Linked DNA regions of Coturnix japonica. The protein of the gene in region 2 purifies or fractionates together with the protein of the main gene of each other region. This does not show direct contact. Links are inferred from orthologs where the notes say so. Each region holds a gene or a part of one and is shown on either strand. Other genes may lie near its edges.

Region 1 (4,562 bases), on a different chromosome or scaffold from region 2:
TCGGTGCCCTTTGGGCCAATTTGGGAGTTTTTCTACATCTGACACAGGGATCCCGCCCCAGGGCAGCACTGCACCATAAAAGGCAAAGCGCTGGGGAAGCGCTGGGATGGAGCCCGGTGCCAGGCACCCGCTCCCCCCGTGGCTGAGCTCCCAGAGCCCGCTTGGCAACGGTGACCACATCCAAAGGGGAGAACTTTGAGCTCCCAGCAGTGTTTAGAGAAGCACCCGCTACATCCGTAGAGATTTTTGCTAAGTTATGCCTTGGAATGTCTTATAGGAATCTTGTTTCTGAGCGTGGCTGATGTTGGGCTCCGCTGTTAGTGATGCCATAGAAACTCCCTTAGCACTGATCCATCCCTGCGCTCACTGCAGCCGGCCCGGCCCTCCTGGGGGCCCTGCGCCAGCAGCGCTGCGTCCCAGCGAGCAGCAAGCGGGCGGCAGCTGCGGGGTGAGCCCAGAGCTCCTGCTGAAGGGTGACCCTGCCCCAGTGGTGGGCCTGACCCCAAATCACTGAGAGCAGAGGGGAGCGAGGAGCTGTGACCGCTGGGGAAAGGAGGAGAGAACCTGAAGGAGGATGCAGAGGGAGCGCTGCCCGTAAAGCACCATGGGGCAGCACGTGGTGCGGTGATGGGCGCTGCACAGAGTGACCCCAGGCCCTGCGCTAGGAGCTGTGTCATGCCAGCGGGCAGACCTCGGCCACGAGGCTGAGAAGCCCCTGCAACGCCAGCACTGAGCAAGGAGAAGGCAGTGAGCCCTGGTGGAAGCGGGGCGCTGAGCATGGCAGCCTCCACCTGGCAGTCCTGTGGATATTTACGGGATGACACAAGCCAGGCACGAGGCACAGACTGCGCCACGTCCCGGGGAGGTTCTGCAGTAGCACGCCAGGAGCGCAGCCCGCAGCCTCGTCAGCAGGGCCTGGGTGCCACGATCCGGGCACACGGCCCCGCCATGAGCTCCGCGGGGATGGAAGGAGAAAGCCCTCCTAAGGTGTATGAGATGCAGGTGGGGCAGCATCGGGCCGGCAGCGGGCGCACGGTGAGGCCGGTGGTCTACAGGCTGGAGGAGAGCGAGTATCGACGGCTGCTGAAGGAGGCAGAAGAAGGCCCCGAGGAGGAGTGGGAGCCTGAGAACCAGGGGCTGGGACAGCAGGAGGGCTGCCCAGGGAATGGGGTGACGGCGAGCCCCAGGCTCCATCGGATTGATGTGCTGCGGGGAGCCCCACTGATCCGCTCGTACTCGGAGAGCAGCGTGGAGCTGCGGGTGGGGAGCAAAGCGCCGGGCTGCCCCATGGAGGGTGGCAAACCCCGCGTCCCAGCCAGGTCAGACAGCTTCGAGCTGATGGATTACATCCTGCAGAGCAGGCAGGAGGCGGGGGCACCGCTGTCCCACAGCCCCCGAGATGGATTCATGCAGGTGTTGGGCTTTGCACCGTGCCAGAACGGAGAGGATGGGCAGCTCACAAAGAGCCGTGCAGCCAGAGATGCTGGGAAGCTCACGAGGCAGAACAGCACCCAGGTGGCGGAGAGCAGGGAATGGCTTGGAGCAGATGTGGATATGGAGATGCTGGAGTCGTACAGCCAGAAAAAATCACCTCCGGCCCCACCGGTCAGGACGCACAGTAAGGAGAGCCTGGCGCTGAGCATGAGCAAGACCGTAGCACTGAGCGAGGCACTGCTGGAGCCATGCAGCCCTGCGGCCCGGCCAGGGGGGAAGGAGCCAACAGGAGGGGGCCCGAAGGAGCAGGGGAGGAAGAGCGAGGAGGAGGAGGAAGAGGAGGAGGAGAAAGTGCTCAAAGTGGCTGATGCCAAGAAAACCTTTGAGAAGGCGAAAGCGGAGGGGAAGGCAGCGGTTAGCAGCACACGGAAAGGTGAGGGGGCAGCAGGGGGAGTGGGGCACTGCTCTGCAAAGTGGGTGTGGGGTTGGGGGCTGCAGAGCTGGGGTTGTATCGGGGATGGATTATTCTGATGGGTGCTGTGTGAGGTGGGGCTTTGCTGTGTCATGGTTCTCCCGGAGCCCTTGGTGCAATTAGTAAATGAGTGCCAAGCCCAGCTCGGATGCTTTTCATGAACAGATCTAACACAGGAGAGACTGCATGGCACTTCTTCACGCTTTCACCTGTGCTTCTTTGCCTCTCTGCACACCGGGCCATCCCGTAGCAGTTTAATTACGGTGTAACCAGGAGGTGTTGTCATCCTCGGGTTCTTTTTTCCTGCTCCGGGACTTGGCTGTGTGAGTTCATGACATCAGTTGGAAGCCGTCCCTCTGCAAAGCTGTGAATAAGTGAGCTCTGCTGGGATTTTAACGGTGAAACAGCAACAGGGAGAGGTTAGAAATGAGTGTGTTTGAGGACGTGTCGGGCCGTGATGGTGAAGCTGCACCTTTGGTCTATTGACAGTCCGCGATTGGGGATTTCCTTATAAAGGAAAATAAATGTCAGGGCGCAGGGAATCTGTGCTGCTTTGGAACAGATTGATGCTGTTACTTAAAAGCCAAAGGCAAGTTATCCCACAGGGGTAACTCTCCATAGGGGTGATCACACTGTGAGCAGATCCCTCCTGGGGTGATAGGGAACAATTCTGTTCCTGCAGCCCATTGAGCAAACCTGCTGCCCACGCCTCGCGCTGCGCAAGGACATCTCGCTTCCATGTACCGCTGTGTGATGCCTTTCTTATTACCTCTGATTTTTCCAGCACCTTTGGCCCAACTTGATCCTAGACAGCAGGGAGAGAAACAGAACGAGATGGCAAAAGGCTTCCAAACTGGTTGACTAATGAGGACATGGGATGACACGGAGACCCGCACGCAGCCCCGCTCACAGCCCCGCTCACCCCCTGCTGCCTGCCTGACTTTATTCCTTCTATTCAGAATGATAGGAAGTGTCAGTCCTGGGATATCCGTGTTGTAAATAAAATACAGCTTGCTTTTTTCATTACTGCTATTATTGTGCGTGTGTGTGTGTGTGTGTGTGTGTGTTCAGCTTTCTGGTCTCTCTCCCATAGTCAGTCATCTGGCGTAGCGGAGATAGCAACAAAGAGAAATCCCATCCGTTGCAACCGATTGCTTCGTGGTTATTTGGTGTTTAGTTGAGGTGTGGGGACCACCAGCCTTTCATTGCAAGAGAGATGGAGAAAAAGATGTTATAATTGTGTGACTGTAGAATGGTTGGAGTCGGAAGGGACCCCCAAAGGCATCTGTTCCCACTGCCTGCAGTGCTCAGGGACACCCACAGCTCCATCAGTGCTCACAGCCCCATCCCCTGACCATGGGTATCCCCAGGTCCAGGCCCTGAATGGAAAAGGAAGGTAAAAGATGAGCTTGGGTTTGATATAAAGATCAGCTCTCTGTAGCAGCAGGTATTTCTGTGCCTTTCCTATGGAATGGTTGGCTGTGACATCTATATGGCTATACATAACACGCGTGAGAGTGTGCATAGGTAGTAATAGATGTGCCTTATGAACTGTGAGTTAAATCATTCACAGCAGCAGTATGAATTATAGATAATGCCATGGCCTAAAGCAGGGATGGGGCCACGCAGAGGTGGGCAGGGCTGTGCTAAATCCAGGGGGCTCCAGCTCCTCACTGCTGCTTTAACTCACGTTCACCTTTCCTTCTGTCTGCATCACTGACCTGCTCTCACATTTCTCCCTTTCCCAACCTGATGGGACACATTGCTCATGTAAGCTTTGCTCTGTAATTCCACAGCTCCCCTTTCTGGCCAAGGACTGAATAAAAGGGATTTGCTTGCTTGATCTGAAAGCTGAACTGGTCCTGGAAAAGTCATATAATTGGGATGCCCGCAGTCCCAAACTCTCCTGCCTGGTGTATTGGGTGTGACTTAGCAGCTAAGCTGGCAAAAACAGGACTTGCTGATCTCTCTGAACCCTCTTTGAGCCATTTCCCTTCACTTAGAATCCATTTATCCACCAGGACTTCAGCAAATTGAAATGCTTGTAACAAATGCATCCCCCAAGTGACTTCCTAAAGACTGCGTGGCTGGGATGGCTCTGCCCTGCCCTTAGGAGCACTGCTCAGGCCCCCATGGAGCAGGCTGTCTGTGCCACCCTATTTTCCATGTCCTAATGTCTCATTTATAGCTTAAGCTCTTATTCTCTTAGTGGGATGCCCAGGGGAAACGCACTCCTGGGGGTTTGCTTCTGATGCTGAGAGCAAAGTGATTTTGCAGCAGTGCTGAGAGCCACAGCTCTGAGCAGCGATGCCCCAAAGCTTTGCAAATAACCCATGTGCCTCCTGGTGTTGCTTTCTTCACCTTTTCTGAACTAGAACGAACATTGCTGCTCTGGCAAGGAAGGTTGAATGCGTTACTTATAAGGCGTGTCAGGATCGCCGCTGCCATGATTTATTGCACCGATGGAATTGATGCATATTTGCAAGCAAGCTAAATTTAGCTGCTGACCTAAGTTGCACAGATGGAGTCTGGAAACAAGGGGCTGTTTCCGTATAAAGGCTGTGAGACAGACCTGGCAGCAACTTGTGCATCCTTATAGCAGAGGGCAAGATAGGTGAGATGGATTAAGGTGCTTCTGTATTAATCCTGAGGGGTT
Region 2 (4,741 bases):
AGCTGCGAGTGGGGCCGATACACAGAGATGCGGCACCTCGGAGCCCATGTTGTCCTGGCACCGGGTGCCCATGTGCTGCAATGTCACCATCTCAGAGGGGACAAAGTCACCCCCGTGGTGTCCCTGCAGCTCAGCTCCGTCCCCATGGCCACCTCCAGTTCAGAGGGGACACAGCGCAGCCCCAGCACAACCCAGCCTTGCAGCATCCCAGTGACAAAGCCCTCACTGCAAGACCCCACACAGGGCTGGATCCCGCTCCCATAACACCCACAGTGCTTCTTGCACGGCGCCTTAATCAATGCAATTAATCAACAACGCTCTGGAGCTGCAAAGCTCCAGCTCCATGCAGCGCTGCTCACCAACACCACGCACCGCCCTGTCCAACCCCGCAGCACACGCTGCAAACAGGAAAGAAACAAAATATTGCCCAAATGTAGGCAAAGGCCCCTCGGCTGCCCTGACCTCCGCCGGGCCGGGCCCTGCCTGACTCAGCTCCTTACTCAGCTCTCGTTTCCTCCCTCCGGCTGCTGCTGCCGCTGCAGCTCACACCCTAACGAAGCACGGCCCTTGATGGGCTCTGCGATGCACCCAGCAGTCCAAGGGCTGGCCGGGAGGTTTGCACCGCTACTTGCTGACATGAGCGCTGAACTTGGCCCTGGGTAGCGCTGCAGGCCGGGAGGGGTGGGTGCAAACAATGCACCTGGTGCCCCATCCCCTCCCTTGCAGCACCAGGCCGATGGTGTGATTGCAGCTCGGTGCATGCACGCGCCGTGATACGTTCCTTGCTGCTGTAGCAGCCTAGTGCACGCACAGCCCTCGCTGTTATTGCAGCTCTGCGCACACACTCATTGTATCACTCCATCCCACAGCATGATGCACTCGCACTGGAGCTATCGCTGCTGGGTGCACACACTCATTGTATCGCTGCAGCTCAGTGCATGCACGCAGGCTGCTGTTATTGCTGCTGGGTGCACGCACATCAGTGTGGCTGCAGCTCAGTGCATGCACAGCCGGTGCGCATCGCTCCCACTGCTCCCATCGCTCCCATAGCTCCTATTGCTCCCATTGCTCCTACTGCTCCCATTGCTCCCATAGCACCCATAGATCCCATATAGCACCCATAGATCCCATACAGCTCCCATAGATCCCATATAGCACCCATAGATCCCATAGCTCCCATAGCTCCCGTAGCTCCCATCGCTATGGCCGCCTGTCCCCGGGAGGTGACTTCAAGGGGACCGCAGGACCACCGGGATGGGGGCAGGGCTGCATCCCCTCCCCAACAAAGCACTATGGAATCAAAGCATTATGGAATCAAAGCACTATGGAATCAAAAGGGGGTGGGGGTGGAAGGGAGCGTCACACCCCGCCGCTCAGCCTCACCTGGAGCTGAGCCCCACGCTCCCCTCTCCCCTTTCATCCCCCCAATTTCCTATTTATTTATTTCTTAATTATTTTGTGCAGCGATGGGGGCGGGCGGGGCGAGGCGGGAGAGGTGCGGCCACAGCCAATCAGAAGGGCGCGCTCCGAAAGTTTCCTTTTATGGCGAGGCGGCGGCGGCGGCGGCCCTATAAAAGGCGGAGCGGGCGGCGGGCGGGAGTCGCTTTGCGCTGCCTTCGCCCCGCGCCCCGCTCCGCATCCAGCCGCCTCGTGCCGCCCGACCCGGCTCCGACTGACCGCGGTACAAACACAGGTGAGCGGCCGGACCGCAACGCTGCGACAGCAGAGCTCCATTGTGCCATACGGGGGAGCACCGAGGGGCTGCGGGGGGGCGCTGTGTATTGGGGAGGGGGCGTGAGTCGGGGTGTGTGTGTGTGTTAACGGAGCCGGTGCTGCCCGGTGCCGCGGGGCGGTTCGGCGCTTTGTGCTGCGATGAGCGGGGCGGGGGGCGAGGGAACAAAGGCGGAGTGAGGGGTGGGGGGGGGTCGGGTTGTGACCCCCATGTGCAGCTTTAACCCCCCCCATGTGCAGCTGTACCCCCATGTGCAGCCCCCCCCCCCCAATCCTTGTTACAGATCGCGGGCTGTGCTGGCTGCGGGGCTGTGCTGGGTGCGGGGCCGTTGGGGGCTCGGGGCGGTGCCGGTGGTTGGGGGCGGCTGGTGGGCGGGGCTGGCTGCCCCTATAGCGCCGGCGGCTGTCGAGGCGCGGCTCGGAGCTGCCATTGCCTTTTATGGTCATGGTTGGAGGGCGCAGGGACTTCCTTTGTCCCAAATCTGTGCCGAGCCCAAATCCGGGAGGTGCCGCCTGACCCCCTCTAGCGGGCGAGGGGCGAAGCGGAGCCGGCAGGAAGGAAATGGGTGGGAGGAGGAGGGCCGTGCTGCCGCGCTGCCGCCCCGCGATCCATCCCCAGCGTTGGGGGGATCTATAGGGGGCGAGGCGGGGCGGGGTCCGGCTTCTAGTGCGTGACCGGCAGCGCTTCTATCTCACTGCCTCCTCTCTTCCTTCGCAGCCAGCCATGGATGATGATATTGCTGCGCTCGTTGTTGACAATGGCTCCGGTATGTGCAAGGCCGGTTTTGCCGGGGACGATGCCCCCCGTGCCGTGTTCCCATCCATCGTGGGTCGCCCCAGACATCAGGTACGGCAATGGCTGGAGTGATGCATCCAGACAATGGAGAGGAGTGTTCGGTGGGAGTGGTTGTGCTGAGGGCGTGGAGCCTCCAGAAGCCCTTTTACTTTCATGTGTGACATAAGAGGTTTCTACTCTGCAACAGTAACTGGTTGAATACACAGCATCCTGCCGAGCAACCCGTGTTGAGCCAATGGCTCCAGTCCTTAACCTGGCAGAGTAGGGGCAGTAGGGGGTTAGTGATTAAAGGTGTGGCTTCTGCGGGGGGGGGAAATAAAACCTTTATTCATCCATTGGATTTTGTCCTAGAGTTAAACTTAAAGCTTTTTCTTTGTTGTGCAGGGTGTGATGGTTGGTATGGGTCAGAAAGACAGCTATGTAGGTGATGAAGCGCAGAGCAAGAGAGGTATCCTGACCTTGAAATACCCCATTGAACATGGCATAATTACCAACTGGGATGATATGGAGAAGATCTGGCACCACACTTTCTACAATGAGCTCCGTGTTGCCCCTGAGGAGCACCCTGTGCTGCTCACAGAGGCTCCCCTGAACCCCAAAGCCAACAGAGAGAAGATGACACAGGTGTGTAAAACCCTTTGAGCCTGGAGCTACAGCAGGCGCTGCTGCAGGCCAGCTCTCCTCTTCCATGTTGTCCTCTATCCGCCTTCACCACTTCTCCCTTTTTGCCATCTTTACAGGGTTTTCCTTTCCTGACCTGAGTCTCCTCTTTGCTGGACCTTGACAGGTTTTGTTTGCTCTAAGCTGGCTTTCTCTGAGACTGAACTAGCAACTTGTCTAACTGCTGTTTCTGACTAGACACTAATCCATTTACCAGCCTTGAATGACTATACTGTAGTTCCTTGGCCTTTGTTTCGTTCCTTGCTGTGTCATGTGGATGGGCCTGTGGTAGCAGTGTCCTTGCTCAGGCTCTAACCTGGCAGGTGTGGGTGGAGACCAAGCGAGATAAGCACTGATATCTCCTTCTAGAGGAGCAAAGAAGCCTCTTTATCTAGGGACAAATGTAAAACCACATGCATGGACTGATGTAGGCATGCAGTGAGAACCTTGGTTTATTCTGCTTGACTCAGTGCTTTCTTATCTCTCTAGATTATGTTTGAGACCTTCAATGTCCCAGCCATGTATGTAGCAATTCAGGCTGTGCTGTCCCTGTATGCCTCTGGTCGCACCACTGGTATTGTGATGGACTCTGGTGATGGTGTTACCCACACTGTGCCCATCTATGAAGGCTATGCCCTCCCCCATGCCATCCTGCGTCTGGATCTGGCTGGCCGTGACCTGACGGACTACCTCATGAAGATCCTGACAGAGAGAGGCTACAGCTTCACCACCACAGCCGAGAGAGAAATTGTGCGTGACATCAAGGAGAAGCTGTGCTACGTCGCACTGGATTTCGAGCAGGAGATGGCCACAGCTGCCTCTAGCTCTTCCCTGGAGAAGAGCTATGAACTCCCTGATGGTCAACTCATCACCATTGGCAATGAGAGGTTCAGGTGCCCTGAGGCCCTCTTCCAGCCATCTTTCTTGGGTAAGTCTGACTCCTTTTAGGAGATTCCGTGCCCCTTCTGCCTAGAGTGACTTAGAGACTAGTCAGCTGCCATTGTACTGCTGGCCCTTAGCAGGTCTGTCCCATTCCACTTCAGTCTTTGTCTTCCTCAGCCTGAGGATGATAGAGGTACCTAGGTCAGAACCAGGAGGCTGAGCCTGTAAGCCATGGCTTTGCTTGTGTTGCTTCCCACTATGGGGTCTTTGTTTCTCTTCCCATAGCAGTAGGTCCTTTGGCTTCCTTGACCCTGAACTGCTGACTGACCTGACACTGCTTTTTGCTTGCAGGTATGGAGTCCTGTGGTATCCATGAAACTACCTACAACAGAATCATGAAGTGTGATATTGATATCCGTAAGGACCTGTATGCCAACACAGTGCTGTCTGGTGGTACCACAATGTACCCTGGCATTGCTGACAGGATGCAGAAGGAGATCACAGCCCTGGCACCTAGCACAATGAAAATCAAGGTAGGCTGCAGCTCTGGGCTGTTCCTAGCATACCTCTTAATGCGGAGTGGGTGGAGGCTGAACTAAACTACAGAAGATGGAAACTGCTTTGTCTTCATGGTGGAGCCTTACAGCCTTGCTCTGGGCAGGGTGGCAGCCA
Region 3 (4,702 bases), on a different chromosome or scaffold from region 2:
ACATCTTGAAGAGGCAGACGCAGAGGTTTGTCAGTTGGACGAGTTGGAGGCAGGATGCAGTCCAAGGCTTCCAGGAGGGTGGTTCCACTGGCATTGCCGTCTTTGCGGGTAACCTTCCATCCCTTGAACCAGGGCATCTGTAACAAAACAGCCCCCAACCGTCAGTCATCTGCCCATGTTAATAGAACGAAGCTATGAAACAACTGGCCTAACTCCTTGCATCATCTTCATTACTGCAGAATAACAATTCATAAAGCACTAGGATTTCACACTGACCCCAACATTTCAAAATACTACTACTGAAAAAACCCAAACCCACGTATTTAACTATTGTTTAACTTATCTTAATGATCCTGCTAGTTCCATTTCCTAATATTAAAAAGGAAAACAGGGAAACCTACGTTAGAGCTGGGCTCCAGCATGTTGTCCCCGTTCCAACCAGAGATTGGCACAAAAGCTACAGTGTCTGGGTTGTAGCCAATTTTCTTGATGTAAGTGCTGACTTCCTTGACGATCTCTTCGTATCTCTTCTGGCTGTAAGCGGGCTCAGTGGAATCCATCTTGTTAACACCAACGATCAGCTGTTTCACACCCAGGGTGTAGGCCAGAAGAGCGTGCTCGCGGGTCTGCCCGTTCTTGGAAATACCGGCCTCGAACTCACCAACACCAGCAGCAACAATCAGGACAGCACAATCAGCCTTTGAAAAGGTAGAAAAAAGCCCTTGTTAGAAAGCCTACACGCACACTAAAGCACATGGGCAATTTCCCTGCTGTAAACCAGCCAAGGAGCAGCTTCCCTCAACTCCCCACATCCTTTATTTCCTTACCTGAGAAGTTCCAGTGATCATGTTCTTAATGAAGTCTCTGTGTCCAGGAGCGTCGATGATGGTGACGTAGTACTTGCTTGTTTCAAATTTCCACAGGGAAATATCAATAGTGATACCACGCTCACGCTCAGCCTTGAGCTTGTCCAAGACCCAGGCGTATTTGAAGGAACCTTTGCCCATCTATGGGTTTGAAACAGGAAAAAAAAACCCCTCAAGATATATATTTTCATTTACCTCACCAAGACCATGAAATACACACTAACGAGCAAAGTTATTAATAGGGAGTGACTTACACTGAAAGCTGCTGTTGCTCATAAAACTCTGGCCTAGGTTCACTTGGCACTACTACCAAGATATGCCAACTGCTCTGTCATTTAACCTGCTGACACTTCAGCCCTCTTGACAACTTGTTAATTGTGCTAACACATCTTTATGATGGATCTCTTAAGGCTTAGTCCTACTATCAAGTGTCCACTACAAATTTTAGCTTAGTTACTAATGCCATCCCTGCTCCAGTTGGTATTTTAACAGCCACACAGCCCAGCATTCACTGCATTTCCTTTTATCATGTGCTTACGAGGTGCTATTTTATCACTAAAACAAAACAAAGGAAAACTGGAATACTTCCACAGGTTCACATAATGGTACCTTAGACTCTCCCACCTTGAGACAAGGCTGATCATTACATTTTCAACTAAACTACAAGATGACATGAGACAACAGTCTAAAGCTGTGCCAGGGGAGGTCCAGATTGGATATTAGGAGTAATTCCTACTCCATAAGAGCAGCAATGCATTGAAACAGGCTGTGCACAGAGATGGTGGAGTCACTACCCTTGAAGTGTCCAAGAAACCTGCTGACGTGGCACTGAGGGACATGGTTAGTGGCCATGGTGGGGATGGGCTGATAGTTGGAGTTTCAAGGTCTTCTCCAACATTAACGATTCTGTAATTCTCAATCCAGGCCGAGAATGAAGATGGGAGCTCCCATTTTGATTCTAAGCGTTCAGATTTAGCTTCATGCTCTTTATTCTATGCTTCGATGACTTCACCTTAACATAACAGATTGAGTACTCTAGTTCAATTACCAGGACAATCTCGACCCAACCGCCTCCTTGTGGTAGTAAAACGTTCTGGTTTCCTTCCTTTTGCCCCTTATTCCCCCCAGTCTCCCACCACACGGCTGCCTCACACACCTCGGCCGCCTCCTTCTCGAACTTCTCGATGGTCCTCTTGTCGATGCCACCACATTTGTAGATGAGGTGCCCGGTGGTGGTGGACTTGCCGGAATCGACGTGGCCGATGACGACGATGTTAATGTGAGTCTTCTCCTTTCCCATTTCGGATGGTCTTTAGCTTCTTTCTTCCGGCCAAAGAGAAACGACACCTGAAAGTTCCAGAAGGAATCCCGGTTACAGCGGCCGCCCCCGTCCCGCAGCAGCGCCGCCCGCAGGGGGCAGAGGGCCCGTGTAGGCTCGGCCCCGCCCCACCGGGGGATGGGAGGGGGGAGTCGAGCAGCGGGGAGAGGCGGGCGGTGTTGGCGGCCCGTGTCCCCTCCGGCTCGCCCCCCTCCTCCGTCGCCCCCTCCCCGCATGGCGGCCGGGCCGGGCCGTGCTGGGGCGGCGGCGCGGGGCGGCGCGGAGGGCGGGGCCGCCCCTCTCCTTTGTGTGTGACTCACCCCGCCCGGGCCGCCGTCCTCCATTTTGTGAGCTGACGGCGGCAGGAAGAGCGGGCGGCCATTTTTTTTCTCGTGCCCCGGCCTTCCCTTCCCCCATCGCCCACACCGACGGCGCGGCCCCGCCATCCCCGGCCGCCACCCGCGTACGGCCGAGCACCGCACGCCGCACAGCAGCGCCAGGCGGCTCCGCAAGAAGCCGAAGCGGCGGTGCGGCCCCATGTGCTCATCGCGGCGCTGCCTCGCGTGAGCCCTCGGATGGGACACGTCGGCGTTACGCCGCCGCTCGCCCCGCTTCCCCCATCCGCCCCTTATCTCGCCATCCCCCCGCTCCGCCATCCCCACGCACCGCTGCACGGCGGCGCCTCAACCCCCCGCTCACGGTACATCCACGCACCCCCAGCATCCCCGCTCCCCCCACCCCCGGGCCCGGCCCGCCCCGCCGCACGCTCCTCACCCGCACGGCGTCGGCAAACCCGGAGCGGAAAAGAACGACGGCGTGAGCGCCGCCCCTTATATACCCTGCCACGGGGCGGGGCCTCGGCGCCGCGTCACGGCTCCCGGCGGGCCCAGCGCTAAGCCCCGCGCTAAGCCCCGCCCGGCAGCGCCGCACGCCGTGCTCCCCTGGGGGCGGCGGGGAGGGGCGGGGTGCGGATCCCAGCCCCGGGGGAGCCGGGCCGAGTGGCGGCCGGTCGGGACTCGCTGCCCCAATGCTGAACGGCATCGCCTGGAGCGCGGCCAGCCGGGATGGAGGTGCCGCTCCGCCGCCTCCCCCTCGGCACGGCAGCCATAGAGTCGCCGAGCTCCGCCTCAGGCCCGAGACTGCGGCCCGAGGGGACGCGGACAGCGAGCTGCGGGGTGGGAACTTGCAGACTAGCAGAGATCCCCGGTGGCCTCGCGTTTCACACAGGGCCAAGGAGATTCGCTTCAGCATCAATTCGGGGCTTCTGCTTGAGAGCTCCAAACTGCCCCGAGTGCCCCCATGCCGTACATTCCCGGCTGACAGGTGCCCCATGAGAGTCACCAAAGGTGCTGGCAGCCCCAGCCTTTGGCTTCTGAAACGGGGGCACCAGCACTGAAAGCCCTCGTGATTCCAGCAGGGTGTACTCGTGTAAAACACCTGTATGGCTTTCTAGTGGGAAATTAACCCCAGAAGGGAAACAAATACTTTATTCCTTTAATCACAGAACGACCTGGTTTGGAAGGGACCTCAAGGATCACCCCCTGCCTGGCAGGGCCACCAAACATACACATTTACTAGATCAGGTTGCCCAGGGCCCCATCCATCCTGGCCTTGAACACCTCCAAGGACGGGGCATCCACAACCTCCCTGGGCAGTCTGGGTTAAAAGGATCTGTTTTCTTCTTCTAAGAGAATGTAATGCACCCATGTTACAGTTACTTACGTGTACTCAACTGTAATCCCATTCAATTGTTGGCAGGGGCTCCACAGAACATGCTGAGTTGGAAGGCAGCCCCAGGGATCACCGCGTCCCACTCCTGGCTCCACACGTCTGAGAGCAGCATCCAAATGCTCCTTGAACTCCAGCACCGCGGGCCATACCCACCAATATATAACTATAGCTCACATCTAGGTGTTAAATCACTGAAGGCATTTGCTATGAAGGCAGAGTACCAGCATCTTCATTAAGTGACTTTTCATGGCTCAGGCTGAGGAGTAAGGGTCAATAACTAGTAAGAAAGCTGAGCACACCACATCTGTAAAACCAAGGCTGTAAACATGTCCACGAAGCTTTATTCTACAGGATGGTTTCTAGTTTAGCTTCTGCAATGCCTGTCAGTGGGGGTGTTTTTAGATGGATAAGTTTGTCCAAGTATCTGTTCTGCTAAAGCATAGTTGAAAACATTCAGCCACTTGCACCTCAGCAGGGGGAGGAGAAAGGAAATGTGTTACTGATTTCTTACGCGGCCCATAAGAAACTGCACAGTTATGGGATGTATTTAAAAGGCTTCCATAAATAAAGGCATATGGAAGCATGCATTTCTTAGGACAGCAGTTTCGTTGGTATATTCACAGCTGAAAGCCTGCCGAGTTGTTGGATAACCTTCTAACCATGCCCTAGTTAAGTCTTCAGCAGTCGTTCCTTTCCCCGTGCTTCTTTAATTGGATTTTCAAAGGAGTTTTTACCATTTCCTCTACAATCAAATAGATGCTTTTATTCTCTCGATAACTGGCGCATC

What was found.
Region 1: the proteins of ACTB (region 2) and CORO1C fractionate together in Homo sapiens (co-fractionation; 3 studies listed by BioGRID). This does not show direct contact. The link is inferred for Coturnix japonica from reciprocal best matches to the Homo sapiens genes ACTB and CORO1C.
Region 3: the proteins of ACTB (region 2) and EEF1A1 fractionate together in Homo sapiens (co-fractionation; 3 studies listed by BioGRID, with this or other methods). This does not show direct contact. The link is inferred for Coturnix japonica from reciprocal best matches to the Homo sapiens genes ACTB and EEF1A1.

Annotation. Positions count from the first base shown.
Region 1 is NC_029530.1:5,714,894-5,719,455, reverse strand, and holds the start of CORO1C (coronin-1C), read left to right. Parts: upstream 1-1,475; 5' UTR 1,476-1,554; coding exon 1,555-1,867; intron 1,868-4,562. UniProt on the Homo sapiens protein: Plays a role in directed cell migration by regulating the activation and subcellular location of RAC1. Increases the presence of activated RAC1 at the leading edge of migrating cells.
Region 2 is NC_029529.1:4,231,648-4,236,388, reverse strand, and holds the start of ACTB (actin, cytoplasmic 1), read left to right. Parts: upstream 1-1,560; 5' UTR 1,561-1,693; intron 1,694-2,449; 5' UTR 2,450-2,455; coding exon 2,456-2,578; intron 2,579-2,911; coding exon 2,912-3,151; intron 3,152-3,676; coding exon 3,677-4,115; intron 4,116-4,420; coding exon 4,421-4,602; intron 4,603-4,741. UniProt on the Homo sapiens protein: Actin is a highly conserved protein that polymerizes to produce filaments that form cross-linked networks in the cytoplasm of cells.
Region 3 is NC_029518.1:74,352,481-74,357,182, reverse strand, and holds the start of EEF1A1 (elongation factor 1-alpha 1), read right to left. Parts: upstream 3,088-4,702; 5' UTR 2,959-3,087; intron 2,214-2,958; 5' UTR 2,167-2,213; coding exon 2,023-2,166; intron 1,008-2,022; coding exon 828-1,007; intron 699-827; coding exon 402-698; intron 138-401; coding exon 1-137. UniProt on the Homo sapiens protein: Translation elongation factor that catalyzes the GTP-dependent binding of aminoacyl-tRNA (aa-tRNA) to the A-site of ribosomes during the elongation phase of protein synthesis.